Linked DNA regions of Oryctolagus cuniculus. The protein of the gene in region 3 purifies or fractionates together with the protein of the main gene of each other region. This does not show direct contact. Links are inferred from orthologs where the notes say so. Each region holds a gene or a part of one and is shown on either strand. Other genes may lie near its edges.

Region 1 (4,368 bases), on a different chromosome or scaffold from region 3:
AAAAGTGCATATCTCAGAGTGGGACATACATAACTTTTTGAACAAATAATGATTTTTTTACAAATTAACACAAAAAAATCACAAAATATTTTAAGGGGAAAGTTTTCAATCTAAAGTCATCTTTAAATAGACTGTAATAGATGACATTGTTCTTTTTCCTTTTTATACCATCAAAACTCTCAATGAGATGCTTTTAAGACCTATCCGTCTCTACCAAGAGACACTGACATTAATGATGTCCGTGGAGATGGCAACTGCCTTAATGGCTCAGACTGAAGAGACACATTACTGGGCTGGTTCTCCAAATCAGAGGCAAAGGTGCTCTCTTCTCTCACGTCAAGAGTTTGTTCAACTGAAGTTGCCTGGGGTGGAATAACATCCACAGTTTTGTTGCCATTATTTAAGTTGCTAGTAAGTGTGGTAATGTCACAGTCTTTATCCAGGACTCCAAATTCATCTTCTATTGTAACAACCTCTTTAGTTTCGAATGGTTCCAAGGAAGGAGCCAAAAACTCATTATGTAGAGGGTCTGGAAGACCATTATTGTCATATTCTGTATCTTCTTTGACTTCAGAATCCTTATCACTGTCACTGTCAATGGTAATAACAACTGGGGACCGTGAAGTATTATCTCCATGGTGTTTCTTATGCTTCTTCTTGTGTTTCTTCTTTTTCTTTTTATGATGTTTAGCTGTATCAGTAGCTTTTCCTTCATAAACTATCTCCACACTTAGGCTCCTGGTTTTCCTTTTCCTCCTCTTGTGTTTTGTCTCTCTGTCTGATGATCGGCTGTCTGAAAAGCTATCACTCTCATTTTTATAGTTTCCATCCAATTTTGATGAAGATTTTTGATAATGGCTATCCTTCACTTTAGAAGCAAACTCACGGGACGGTTGAGCCACTTCATTAGTACCCTCCAAATGCCGTGTTTTATATTTTCGTTTCCCACCAGGCTTTTCATTTCTCATTCGGTCAGGTCCTGTAGATGCAGTCCTTGATCTATTACTAGACAGGCTCCTTGATCTGTGCCTTTCATAATAGTAATATTTCCTTTCATTGTGATTATTCTTTTTCCTGGCATTTCTTTCAGAAAAAGACTGAATTCTAAATTCTGGACTTGAAGATTGTCTGGAATAGTGGGCTCTAGACAGAGTCCTCCTCCTATAAGATGATTCATAGCCATCCCTGTCCTTGTTTCTACTATAGTAAGTATATTCCCACTTGTATCTGCTTCCATAATTATTTCTTAAATAGTAACGATCTCTATTTCTGCTCCGTGATCTTCTTCTCCCATGATCACTGCTACGAGACCTTGATCTGCTTGTGCTTTCACTACTTAGAGAGAGAGTTTGGCTTCTTCTTGACCAACTGCTATCTCTAGTTCGTGATCTCTTTTTGTCTCTTCTCCCTCTAGGTCTACTACTCTCCCTGCTTCTGGATCGTTTGCTCTTCACTCTTTTCTTCCCATGATGTTTTCTATGATTTTTCTGATCATGCCCACTTCTACTTTGGGACCGTGAATCTGAACTTCTTGATCTTCCCCTCTTCCTGTGTCTATGGTTATACAGGGAATTTACTCTGTCTCCTCTCAGGTCTCTGGGAGATGATACTGATGTAGATCGTTTTTCTTCCTTCTTTGATTTGATTCTTGTACCAGAATCACAACGGCCTTTATTCATTTGCTCATTCTTTCCAAGGACAGAGCGTGGAGATGAACATCTACTCACATCACTATCACTGGAACTGTAAGACTGCTCTTGTTCTTGTGCCTTCACTGTCTCCATTTTCTCATACGAGCCTAACTCCTCAGAATCAGAGGACAGTTCAACAAGTTCTGGGGTCCGCTCAGCTAGTGGTTTAACAAACCCAACGATGACACAATTATCTGAAGAATCATCACTGTCATTATTTAGGTCCTCATTGGTTTGCACACCTTGTATCTGAGATGTGGCTCCGCCTGTGACAAGTTCTTCATCTGAGCTGTCCGAAGTATTTAAAACGGAAGACATGGCAACATGTACCTGCTCTGAGCTTGAGTAAGATGGTCCTGGAGTTTCATCATCCCACGGTGCCTGACTAACAGTGGCAATGTTCATATCCAGTTCTTGGGTCTCGGCTTCATCTGGAGATATTGTTATGACTGAAGAATCAGAATGGCTGCCTTCTTCATATGAAGGAGCAGGGCAATCATAATTGGCATGTTGATCAAAAGCTGCCATATTAAAAGGAGATCGAGCAAAACTGATAAATTCATGTATAAAATGCTCAGTTCGATTAAGTAAAAATGGCCTTAAGTCAGACACAAACGCCTGACTCTCCAAGTCATAGCGAGTCACATTACTCATGATGATGTGCTGGACAATATTGACTAAAGATCCATGAGCTCCAAAAAGAACTGTGAGCTCACGTTTTAGCCAGGGGACTAATCTATGAAGGCAAGCTGGATTTCTACGGAAAAATTCTGCTGAGATATCCCTGTAGCGGCCACCATCTTCAATATTTCTAACTCGAGCACCTGCACGATAGAGAGTTCGTCTAAAATTAATAATATCTTGTTCTTGAATTTTCCGTAAAGATCGTTCATCTGCATTAGTTGGCCTCCTTATTGCAATCTGTCTCATAAATTGAGGAATTTCAACATCTCTAGGTCTTGCTGAAATGCCTAATCCTTCAAATAGTACTCCACTGTCTGGCGGAGTGGTTGTTCTTCTATTCACGGTGCTACTAGGTGAATAAACAGATGCATTCCGCTCCCTTGTCATGGTTGTACGGTAGCGAAATCGCCGAACATCAGGGGTAGTAAAGGAACCATTATATGCAGGCCTTAAGACATACTCCTTAAAGTCATCTTCTGCCCTCACAGAATGGAAAATAGAATCAAAGGGCTGTTTACATAGTGGACATTCAGCTTTGTTTTTTGACCACTCCTGTACACAGCGAAAACAGAACTTATGTAAGCAGCGATCTAAGTAAGACACATTATCAAATCTATCCAAGCATATAGGACACTTAGAATCAGGAGATGCATCAGCTGGTACTGTCTGCTGCAATTTGCTAGTGCCAGCTTTAGGTGAAAAGTTGTCCATTTTAAATTCTTTAGCAGCTGATGCCATTATCTGTAAAAGGGAAAGAAATATATCAGTAACCTGAAAAAAAAGAATGACTAAATAATCTGAACAAAAATGCAATAAAGACCTTGGAACATACTTTGGTGAAAATACCTGAATGGTTTATAGCATAGGAATATATAGTAACATACAGCACAAGCACTAAAGTTAGATTTCCTGGTCTTAAATCCTGGTTGCATACTATCAGTGTGACTGTGGACCAGTTACTACGCATGCGCTTTACTTTCACCTGTAGGTCAGTTATAATAGAACCTGCCTCCCAGGGTCTGTAAAGATGTAAAAAGACATTAGAAAAGGTACCCAGAACTTAATAATCTCTTAAATATTACGTAATATTCTATTTTGTTTAAAAAATAATTTAACTGGGCTGGCACTGTGGCGCAGCGGGTAAAGCCGCAGCCTGTAGTGCTGATATCCCATATGGGTGTAGGTTCAAGTCCTAGCTGCTCCACTTCCCATTCAGCTCTCTGCTATGGCCTGGGAAAGCAGTGGAAGATGGTCCAAGTCCTTAGGCCCCTGCACCCACATGGAAGACCTGGAAGAAGCTCCTGGCTTTGGATCTGTACAGCTCCAGCCATTGAGGCCAACTGGGGAGTGAACCAACAGATGGAAGACCTCTCTCTGCCCCTCCTTCTCTCCCTGTGTAACTCTGAATTTCAAGTAAATAAATGAATCTTTAAAAATATTAATACTAATAATTTCACTGAAAAATATTTCATATATACCCAAAAAAGATCAAAACAAAATATTCCAAATACCCATGTATCTACCACTCAGATTTAACACTTTTCATAGTTGCTCCAGATTTCTTTTATTCATTCCTCTATCTCTAAGAGAAAAAAAAACACAACCTTCAATTGATACTTTTTTTTTTTTTAATTCAACAGGTAGAGTTATAGACAGTGTGAGAGAGAGAGAGAGAAAAAGGTCTTCCTTCCGCTGGATCACTCCCCTTAATTTATACTATTTCTGTCTATTTCCTACCTTTCATGCACATATGCCCTTAATATTATATAGTATTGATTTACTTTATGATAATATTGTATATGTACTCTTCTAAAACAGCTTTAGTGAAATATAATTTACATATCAAAGTTCACCTGTTTAATTCTATAGTTCTCAAAAATTACTTAAAAAGGGATCTTTCAGTGGAGATAAAGTCAAATAAATGTAAAAGCACTTAAGGGCAATGGCTGACTAATAGTGCCCACTGAGTACTGTTATTATTATGACTACTATG
Region 2 (4,377 bases), on a different chromosome or scaffold from region 3:
CTAACCCAACCCAACCCTAACCCTAACCCTAACCCAACCCAACCCTAGCCCTAACCCTAACCCTAGCCCTAACCCTAACCCAACTTTAGCCCTAACCCTAACCCAAACCTAACCCTAACCCAACCCTAAACCTAAACCAACCCTACCCCTAACCCTAACCCTAACCCAACCCTAGCCCTAACCCTAACCCAACCCTAACCCTAACCCAACCCTAACCCTAACCCAACCCTAGCCCTACCCCTACCCCTAACCCAACCCTAGCCATAACCCTAACCCTAACCCTAACCCTAACCCAACCCTAACCCAACCCTAGCCCTACCCCTACCCCTAACCCAACCCTAGCCATAACCCTAACCCTAACCCCAACCCAACCCTAGCCCTAACCCGAACCCAACCCTAGACCTAACCCTAACCCTAACCCAACCCTAGCCATAACCCTAACCCTAACCCTAGACCTAACCCTAACCCTAACCCTAACCCAACCCTAGCCCTAACCCTAACCCTAACCCAACCCTAGCCCTAACCCTAACCCAACCCTAACCCTAACCCTAATCCAACCCTAGCCATAACCCTACCCCTAGCCCTAACCCAACCCTAACCCTAACCCTAACCCTAGCCCTAACCCTAACCCTAGCCCTAACCCTAACCCAACTCTAGCCCTACCCTAACCCTAACCCAACCCTAACCCTAACCCAACCCTAACCCTAACCCTAATCCTACTCCTAACCCTAACCCTAACCCTAACCCTAGCCCTAACCCTAGCCCTAACCCTAACCCTAACCCTAACCCTAACCCAATCCGACCCTGACCCTGACCCTGACCCTCCGCATGGGAGATGGGGGGTCCCCGGCTGTGCGTCCTCCTCTGCCACTCCGCCCGCCTTTCAGAGACAGCAGGCGCAGGAGGAAGCCCCGCTTGGCTGGCGCGGGCTCATCTACCAGGGGCGTGAAAGTTCTGGGAGAAATGGGATTAAAGTCTGTTTCAGCGCAAAAAATGTGAAACCTACGCACGAAGATGGACCCCGCCCCGCCGAGATTACTTCTTGCTCGTCTGTGAGCAGCCTGACGCCTGCAACTCCGCAGCGAGCCCCGGCGAGGCTTCGGACGCGCGGGGGTCTCCGCGCAGCCGCCCCGCAGCCGCCCCGCAGCCGCCCCTCAGCCGCCCCGCAGCCGCCCCGCAGCCGCCCCGCAGCCGCCCCGACGCCCGGGCACGCGCGCTCGCCGAGGGGGCGGAGCCTGGCCGGATGGGCAGCTGAGGGGGCGGGGCCGCGCGCCGCGCCCGCGCATGCGCGGGGCCGTCCCTGAGGCCGGAACCTGCGTTGCGGGCTGAGGGCCCGGCGGAGCGCGTCAGGCGAAGCACCGGACGTCGGCGGCGGCCGGGCGGGCGGCGAAGCTGGAGCGGCGGTGGCGGCGGCGGCGGGAGGCCGGGGCCGGGGCTGAGGCCGGGGCTGCGAGGCCCACGGGGCGGCAGGCGGCGGCGGCGGCGGCCCGGGGCTCGAGCCCGGAGACAGCGGCGGCCGCCATGGCCGAGAGCATCGTGAGTGCGGCGGCCGGGCGGGAGCGGGGCGCCGGGATGAGGCAGCAGATTTGCGCGGCGGCCTGTGGGGAGGCGGCGCCGCGGCCGGCCCTCCCCTGGCCTCGGCGGGCCCCTCCGCGGCGTCGGCCCCTCGGCGTGCTCCCGCGCCTGGCTCTGGCCGGGCCTGTCGTGACCCGGCGGCCGGCGGGCAGGGCCGGGCCGGGCGCGTCCGCAGTTGCGGAGCCGCCTGGCGGGAGCCCTCGGGCCCCCGAGCGGGGTCGCGGCCTTCCCAAGGCCGCCTTCGGGGCTCCGCGGCCTCGCGCTCCGCCTGGGCGGGAGCGGCCGGGAGGGGGGCGCGGGACCGGACACCTGCCTGCTGGGAACGGGCGACCGGCCGGGCTGACGCTTGTCCCGGACTGCGCCGCTTCCCGCCCAAAGTTGGCCAAAGGAAATGGCCAGGAAATCAGAAAGACAGCGGTCACGGCGAACTCGTGAGAAGTTGCGCCGGGAAGGCGCCGAGGGGCTTGGGGTCTCCGGGGGGAGCGGCACCGGCGCTGACAGCCCGCGGCCGTGCGGGTCCCGGCTGCGTTTGTGGGACCCCCGCGGCCGTGTGCGGGTCCCGGCTGCGTTTGTGGGACCCCCGCGGCCGTGTGCGGGTCCCGGCTGTGGTTGTGGGACCCCCGCGGCCGTGTGCGGGTCCCGGCTCCGTTTGTGGGGCGCCCGCGGCCGTGCGGGTCCCGGCTGCGGTTGTGGGGCGCCCGCGGCCGTGCAGGTCCTGGATGCGGTTGTGGGACCCGCGCGGCCGTGCAGGTCCCGGCTGCGGTTGTGGGGCGCCCGCGGCCGTGCGGGTCCCGGCTCCGTTTGTGGGACCCCCGCGGCCATGCGGGTCCCGGCTCCGTTTGGTGCCTTGGCTCCCCAGCCTTGGCCTCCGGGCGGGTAGGAGGTGAGGCTTCCTCTCTCGTTGAATTTCCCAGGCGGTGAGGAGTTAAAGCAGTCCTCTTTGAAATCGCTGTCGAAGTTTTTTTTAAGTTAGACTTTAGAACCGGTTTCTGTGGGTGTAGCTGACTTGTTCCATCAGTCCTTCATCTCCCGAGGGGTGGCGGGGCCGGGGTCCCAGGGCGCCCAGCGGTGTCGGTGTTCCGGGCGGGGGTCCCAGGGCGCCCAGCGGTGTCGGTGCTCCGGGCGGGGGTCCCAGGGCGCCCAGCGGTGTCGGTGTTCCGGGCGGGGGTCCCAGGGCGCCCAGCGGTGTCGGTGCGCCGGGCCGGGGCCGCAGGGAAGCGCAGCCCAGGCTTTGAGAGGTTCCAGGAACGAGCAGACGCAGGCCTTGCCGCTGCCGCGGAAGCGCACCTGCTCGCCAGAGACAGTAAGGAGGTGTAGACGGTTTAACAGGCGTGGGTACGAAGCGAAAGGATGTAAGATGTTTTGTGCTCTTCACAGTTGGGAAACTCGGATCATTCAAGACAGTCTTCAAGGTTGAGAACTTATGGGGCAAACCCTTTTCAGCCAAGTGGGAGGTTTTTTTTTAAACTTTTTTTCTATTTGCCAGGCAGAGTTGGACAGTGAGAGAGAGAGAGAAAGGTCTTCCTTCCGTTGGTTCACCCCCCAAATGGCTGCCACAGCCAGCGCCCAAAGCCAGGGGCCAGGGCCTCCTCCTGGTCTCCCATAGGGTGCAGGGCCTAAGCACCCAGGGCATCCTCCACTGCACTCCTGGGCCACAGCAGCGCCGGATCCGAAGTGGAGCAAACACGGCACAAACCGGAGCCGTTGTGGATGCTGGCGCTGCAGGCGGCCCCGCCCCCTCAGGCGGTGCCCAGGCCTGCTGACCTTCCAGACCAGTCCTGTCAGTGTGTGTGTGTATTTATTTTTGACAGGCAGAGTGGACAGTGAGAGAGAGAGAGACAGAGAGAAAGGTCTTCCTTTGCCGTTGGTTCACCCTCCAATGGCCGCCGCGGCCGGCGCGCTGTGGCCGGCGCACCGCGCTGATCCGATGGCAGGAGCCAGGAGCCAAGAGCCAGGTGCTTCTCCTGGTCTCCCATGGGGTGCAGGGCCCAAGCACTTGGGCCATCCTCCACTGCACTCCCTGGCCACAGCAGAGGGCTGGCCTGGAAGAGGGGCAACCGGGACAGAATCTGGCGCCCCGACCGGGACTAGAACCCGGTGTGCCGGCGCCGCTAGGCGGAGGATTAGCTTAGTGAGCCGCGGTGCCGGCCCGAGAAAGGTCTTCCTTTATCGTTGGTTCACCCTTTTTTTTTTTTTTTTTTTTTTTTTGACAGGCAGAGTGGACAGTGAGAGAGAGAGACAGAGAGAAAGGTCTTCCTTTTGCCGTTGGTTCACCCTCCAGTGGCCGCCGCTGCAGCCGGCGCACCGCGCTGATCCTGGCAGGAGCCAGGAGCCAGGTGCTTTTCCTGGTCTCCCATGGGGTGCAGGGCCCAAGCACCTGGGCCATCCTCCACTGCACTCCCTGGCCACAGCAGAGAGCTGGCCTGGAAGAGGGGCGACCGGGACAGAATCCGGCGCCCCAACCGGGACTAGAACCCGGTGTGCCGGCGCCGCAAGGTGGAGGATTAGCCTATTGAGCCACGGCGCCGGCCCGGTTCACCCTTTAATGGTCGCTGCAGCCAGTGCGGCAGCCATTGGAGGGTGAACCAACGGCAAAAGGAAGACCTTTCTCTCTCTCTCTCTCTCTCTCTCTCTCACTGTCCACTCTGCCTGTCAAAAAAAAAAAAAAAAAAAGAAAAGAAGAAGAATGATGATTGGGGCCGGTGCTGTGGTGCAGTGCGTGGGAGACCTGGAAGAAGTTCCTGACTTTGGCCTGGCACAGCCTTGGTCACTGTGGTCATTTGGGGAGTGAACCAGATGGAA
Region 3 (4,468 bases):
AAACTCTTAAGTTCAGTTTAATTCATCCAGTCATGAATATATATCAAATACCTCTTAATCATAAACACAATTTAAAATACATAAGAAGGGGCCGGCGCTGTGGCACAGCAGGTAAAGCCACTGCCTGCAGTGCCAGCATCCCATATGGGCACTGGTTCGAGTCCCGGCTGCTCCACTTCCTATCCAGCTCTCTGCTGTGGCCTGGGAAAGCAGTGGAAGATGGCCCAAGTCCTTGGACCCCTGCACCCACGTGGGAGACCCGGAGGAAGCTCCTGGCTCCTGGCTTCGGATGGGTGCAGCTCCGGCTGTTGCGGCCAATTGGGGAATGAACCAGCAGACGGAAAACCTTTCTCTCTCTGCCTTTCTTTCTCTCCCTGTGTAACTCTGACATTCAAATAAATATATAAATCTTACAAAATACTTTATATTTATTTATATTTATATAATAAACATATCATCTATTTATATAATATAAACATAAATTTATATTTTAAATATATAAAATTTATATTTATATTCAATATATAGATATATTTATATATTAATATATAAAGACATATTTATGTTTATATATTTTATAAAATAAAAAATACATGAGAATTCACATTTTAGAATGCTGAAAAGTTCATTCTAAGGTATGTGGAAAAAGGCTTAAAGCAGGGGTGAGGAATGTCCAGGCAACAAACCATACAAGGCCAGGGAAATCATTTGGTCTGGCCCTGCCAAGGCAACGGCCAGTGAGACTCGGAATTCAATAAATCTATAGCAGGCTAATTTTCAAGCTGATAATTGTGTATGGCCCGCAAATGATGTTATAAATATCCAAATCGCCCTTGGCAGAAAAATGGTTCCTCACCTCTGGCTTAAAGGGATCATGTGTTTCTAATGGCTAATCACCATCTAGTAAAAACAGACCCAAAAATTATCAATAGAAATTCACTGCACATCAAGAACAGTGTAAGGTTATTTGCCATTCTGTAGAATTCCAGACACCACTGGTCTACTGAGGGACTTCTAATCAGACTCAGCAATACAGAGACCTGCAACCAGGAAACAAGCTGTCCAACTGAAAAACAGCCCTATAGCAAGTAAGGAGTCAATCTGTCTCACCATACTTTGAGCTTTATGTATATCTAATAAAAATGTTGCAGGAGAAGAGAGTGAGGAGTGGGCATCTGGCACAGCAGTGAAGACCCGGCTTGTGATGTGCACATCCTGTGTGGCACAGCTCAGCTGCAGCCCGGTTTCCTGCTAACCCGCGCCCTGAGAAGCAGCGGGTGATGTCTCGGGTACCTGGGTCTCTGCTACCTCATGGGAGACCAGGATGGAGTTCCTGGCTCCTGCTTCAGCATGGCCCAACCCCAGCTACTGTGAGCATTTGGAGAGTGACCCAGCAGCTGGAAGGAAGATACCTCTCCCTTTCTCTCCTTCTCAAATAAAATAAAGATTTAAAAAAAAAAGTTAATAGTAAGGGTCATATATGAAACTGCAATTAAATGGCATTTTAAACCATCTCTAGAAAATCTAAAGATACATAAATGTGCACTTTAATTCTACAAATATAATGTAGCATACTAACTTATTTACACAATGATTTTCTGTCTCTGTAACAAATCTGGTTAAACACTGGGAAATCCATTACAACTTTAATAAACCAATCACACGTTTAAAGATATTATGAAAAGCTACCACTCACTCCTCATCACTCTTTCATCACAAATTTCCCTTTACCTACTTTGACGTCATGTTTCATGCCACAAACCAGATAACAACACATCAAACATGCAGTTATCATTGCAGAGCAAATAAATAAATAAATAAAACTGCTTTCGTTATGAAACAGCAACTTCAATAAAACCTGTACTGGGTAAAACAACCTAAAAATCTACTTAACCATATCCTGCATGTCCAAGTATGACCCGGTGGAAACATTCTCTGTGTCTAACAAACCGCTACCACACGAAGTACAGATCTGTTAAGAAAAGGAACTAACATTCTGACCTCCTTCCAAAATGACAAACCAGAACGGCAAAATTACACTCAGGCACATGGAGTACTCGTCTCTCAAATCACTCCACGGAGAACTTCATCATTTGCTCCGCCCTCTAATAACTCATGCAAAAAAAGTTCAGCACCATCAGAGAGAAACAAGACCTAGAGAATTCATAGAATGGCTCAGGGCCTCTCCTCCAGGCGGTAAGACCTGTCTGGGCCCTTCGCAGGGGTCCAGAGCAAAGGGAAAAACCAGGCCTAGGGTTTTGGGGGACACTAACCCCCAGCCGCACATTTTCTCCCCGAGAAGTTTCTGCCGTCTTCCCTATTCTATCAGCAGGAGGCCCCGGCGCCATGGTCTCAATCGTTACGATTTTATTATGGGGAGGTGGGAAACGCCACCCAGGACTCCTCCAGGCCTCTCGTCTTCAGCTTGGGGGTGCCCCCTCACTATTCTCCTAAAGCCTCGGTCTCTAAGGTACTCCTCGGCACCCCCATTTCTGGCGGCCTGTCCCCTGGGATGTGTAAAGGCGCCGCCGTACCCCTCAGCCTCCGCGTGAAGGCGGGAGGGCCCGAACACGCCAGGGCCACACCGATGGCTCCAAGGGGCCCAGAAAGGGGAAGGGCAGGCCAGCGCCGGGGGAGGGGAGGGTTCACGGGGAGAGGCTGACCTGGCCGGGAAGAAAGGGAAAGGCAGGTGAGGGGATGCGCGGCACCCCAGGACTGCACACTGAGGAGACGATGATGGAGGAGGGCGGTGGCCCGGGTGCGGCCCCCCACTCCTCCCCGCCCCCAGGTCCCCCGGCCGGCGAGGGCGGAGGGCCCGACCCATCCCCTGTCTAGGCAGGCAGGAGGTAAAAGGGGCTATCCCTTCGAACTGCGAGGAGATCGAGGAGGAGGGTAAGGGGAGCGCGCGGGGGGGTGTCTCCCGCCTGAACCCGGAGACCCCGACGCCGTCGTCGCCTCTTCCTCCGGAGGGAGGACGAGAGCTGTGGGTGAAGCCCGAGGGAGGGACGCATGAAGGTAAGGGGCGAGCCCGGGGCAGACCCGCTGCCCGCTCTGGACCCCACTCTCCACCTTCCGGTAACCGCGTCTCTTACCGGTGATGGCGGTGAACTGCTGAATTAACCCCCTCAGCGCCGAGGACGCCGCGGAGCCCCCGTGGGCAGCCATCTTACCGCCGCCGCCGCCGCCGCCGCCGCCGCCGAACAACAACACAGACACACACGGACCGCCCTCCCCCACCTCGCCGCGCGGCCTGCGCAGGCTCATTGACCGCCCCCAGGCTCCGCCCCTCCGGGCCCCCCGCCCCGCGGCCCGCGCAGGCGCACTGCCCACCGCGCCGGAGCGCTCTGTGCGCTCCGCGGGTTGGCTGCTCTGTTGCTGCCTGCTGGCCGCATCCTCATTGCAAACCTCTAGCGCCTGCCTCTCTGAGCTGCCAGGCCAGCTTGATGGACTCGGTTTGGAGTCCTGGCTTCCGTAGTAGGTCTTTCGAATGTCTATTAAACAAGTTTCGTCGATAGATCCAACTGCTGATGGTGGCGTTTATCCTTTTGGCAGCTCCACTGCACGCTACTGAATTTCCTGCGGTTCCCATCAAAAATAGAAATCCTACATCTTAGCGCCGAAGCGGCTTCCTAACCTCTATAAACTAACGGCCTAGCTAACCTAGCGCAGCAGGAGTGAAACGCCAGAAACCCGCGCGCCAGGGAGGCGGTGGGAGCGGGCTCCGACACACGGGAGGTTTCATGGAGGATTGTTCGTTTGCTTTGCGTCACTGAACTTGCCAACGCAAGTCTCCCCTCAGGGTCTCGCTGAGTTTCCTCACCTGTGAAATGAGGACATGGCTTTGGCGTGAGGGAAGCAGCGTGGTTAAGTCGTGTGTAACACCGTCTCAGCAACACAGTGCCCCTGTGGGTAGTCCCTGAATTCTGAATAGTGAAAAAACTGTATAAAGGGGGTGTGACCAGATGGCTTTAAAAAAAAAAAAAAGGAAGTGTTTTTGCGCCAAAAGAAAATGTACAGAAAGGACCCTGGAGAAGTGTCCCAAACCTCAATTAATGGTTGCTTCTAGAGAGGAGAGCGATAGGGAGAATTGTGAATGTGGACTTTTTTTTAAATCCTTTATTTTTAAACAAAAACATAGTAGTGTCACACGATTTCAGATGGTATTAGTGTTACTTGCATAGTTTTAAATATTTTTAGGACAATTTTGTGTGTAGAGTACACTGAAATCGGTTGACACTCCCCAAATTGAAAATAAAGTTAAAGACATGGAGTTTATGTTCCAGCCTCCCACCTCCATCTGCATATTGTGCATCTTTACAGGAAAATGGTCCAGTGAAAGATGGCATGAGTCATCTGGAGAACTGACCCAGTAACAATGACTGTGCCTCTGCTGCAGACCTTGCCTTAAACCTGCTGGGCCACAGCACCAGCCCTCCCAGTGGCCTTTTATTTTATTTTTATTTATTTA

What was found.
Region 1: the proteins of UBXN7 (region 3) and TOPORS purify together in Homo sapiens (affinity purification with mass spectrometry; 4 studies listed by BioGRID and IntAct, with this or other methods). This does not show direct contact. The link is inferred for Oryctolagus cuniculus from reciprocal best matches to the Homo sapiens genes UBXN7 and TOPORS.
Region 2: the proteins of UBXN7 (region 3) and NPLOC4 purify together in Homo sapiens (affinity purification with mass spectrometry; 3 studies listed by BioGRID and IntAct, with this or other methods). This does not show direct contact. The link is inferred for Oryctolagus cuniculus from reciprocal best matches to the Homo sapiens genes UBXN7 and NPLOC4.

What each region holds. Positions count from the first base shown.
Region 1 is NC_091432.1:195,919,911-195,924,278, forward strand, and holds part of TOPORS (E3 ubiquitin-protein ligase Topors), read right to left. Parts: intron 3,117-4,368; coding exon 201-3,116; 3' UTR 1-200. UniProt on the Homo sapiens protein: Functions as an E3 ubiquitin-protein ligase and as an E3 SUMO1-protein ligase. Probable tumor suppressor involved in cell growth, cell proliferation and apoptosis that regulates p53/TP53 stability through ubiquitin-dependent degradation.
Region 2 is NC_091448.1:1,117,222-1,121,598, forward strand, and holds the start of NPLOC4 (nuclear protein localization protein 4 homolog), read left to right. Parts: upstream 1-1,365; 5' UTR 1,366-1,521; coding exon 1,522-1,536; intron 1,537-4,377. UniProt on the Homo sapiens protein: The ternary complex containing UFD1, VCP and NPLOC4 binds ubiquitinated proteins and is necessary for the export of misfolded proteins from the ER to the cytoplasm, where they are degraded by the proteasome.
Region 3 is NC_091435.1:82,953,596-82,958,063, forward strand, and holds the start of UBXN7 (UBX domain-containing protein 7), read right to left. Parts: upstream 3,249-4,468; 5' UTR 3,166-3,248; coding exon 3,093-3,165; intron 1-3,092. UniProt on the Homo sapiens protein: Ubiquitin-binding adapter that links a subset of NEDD8-associated cullin ring ligases (CRLs) to the segregase VCP/p97, to regulate turnover of their ubiquitination substrates.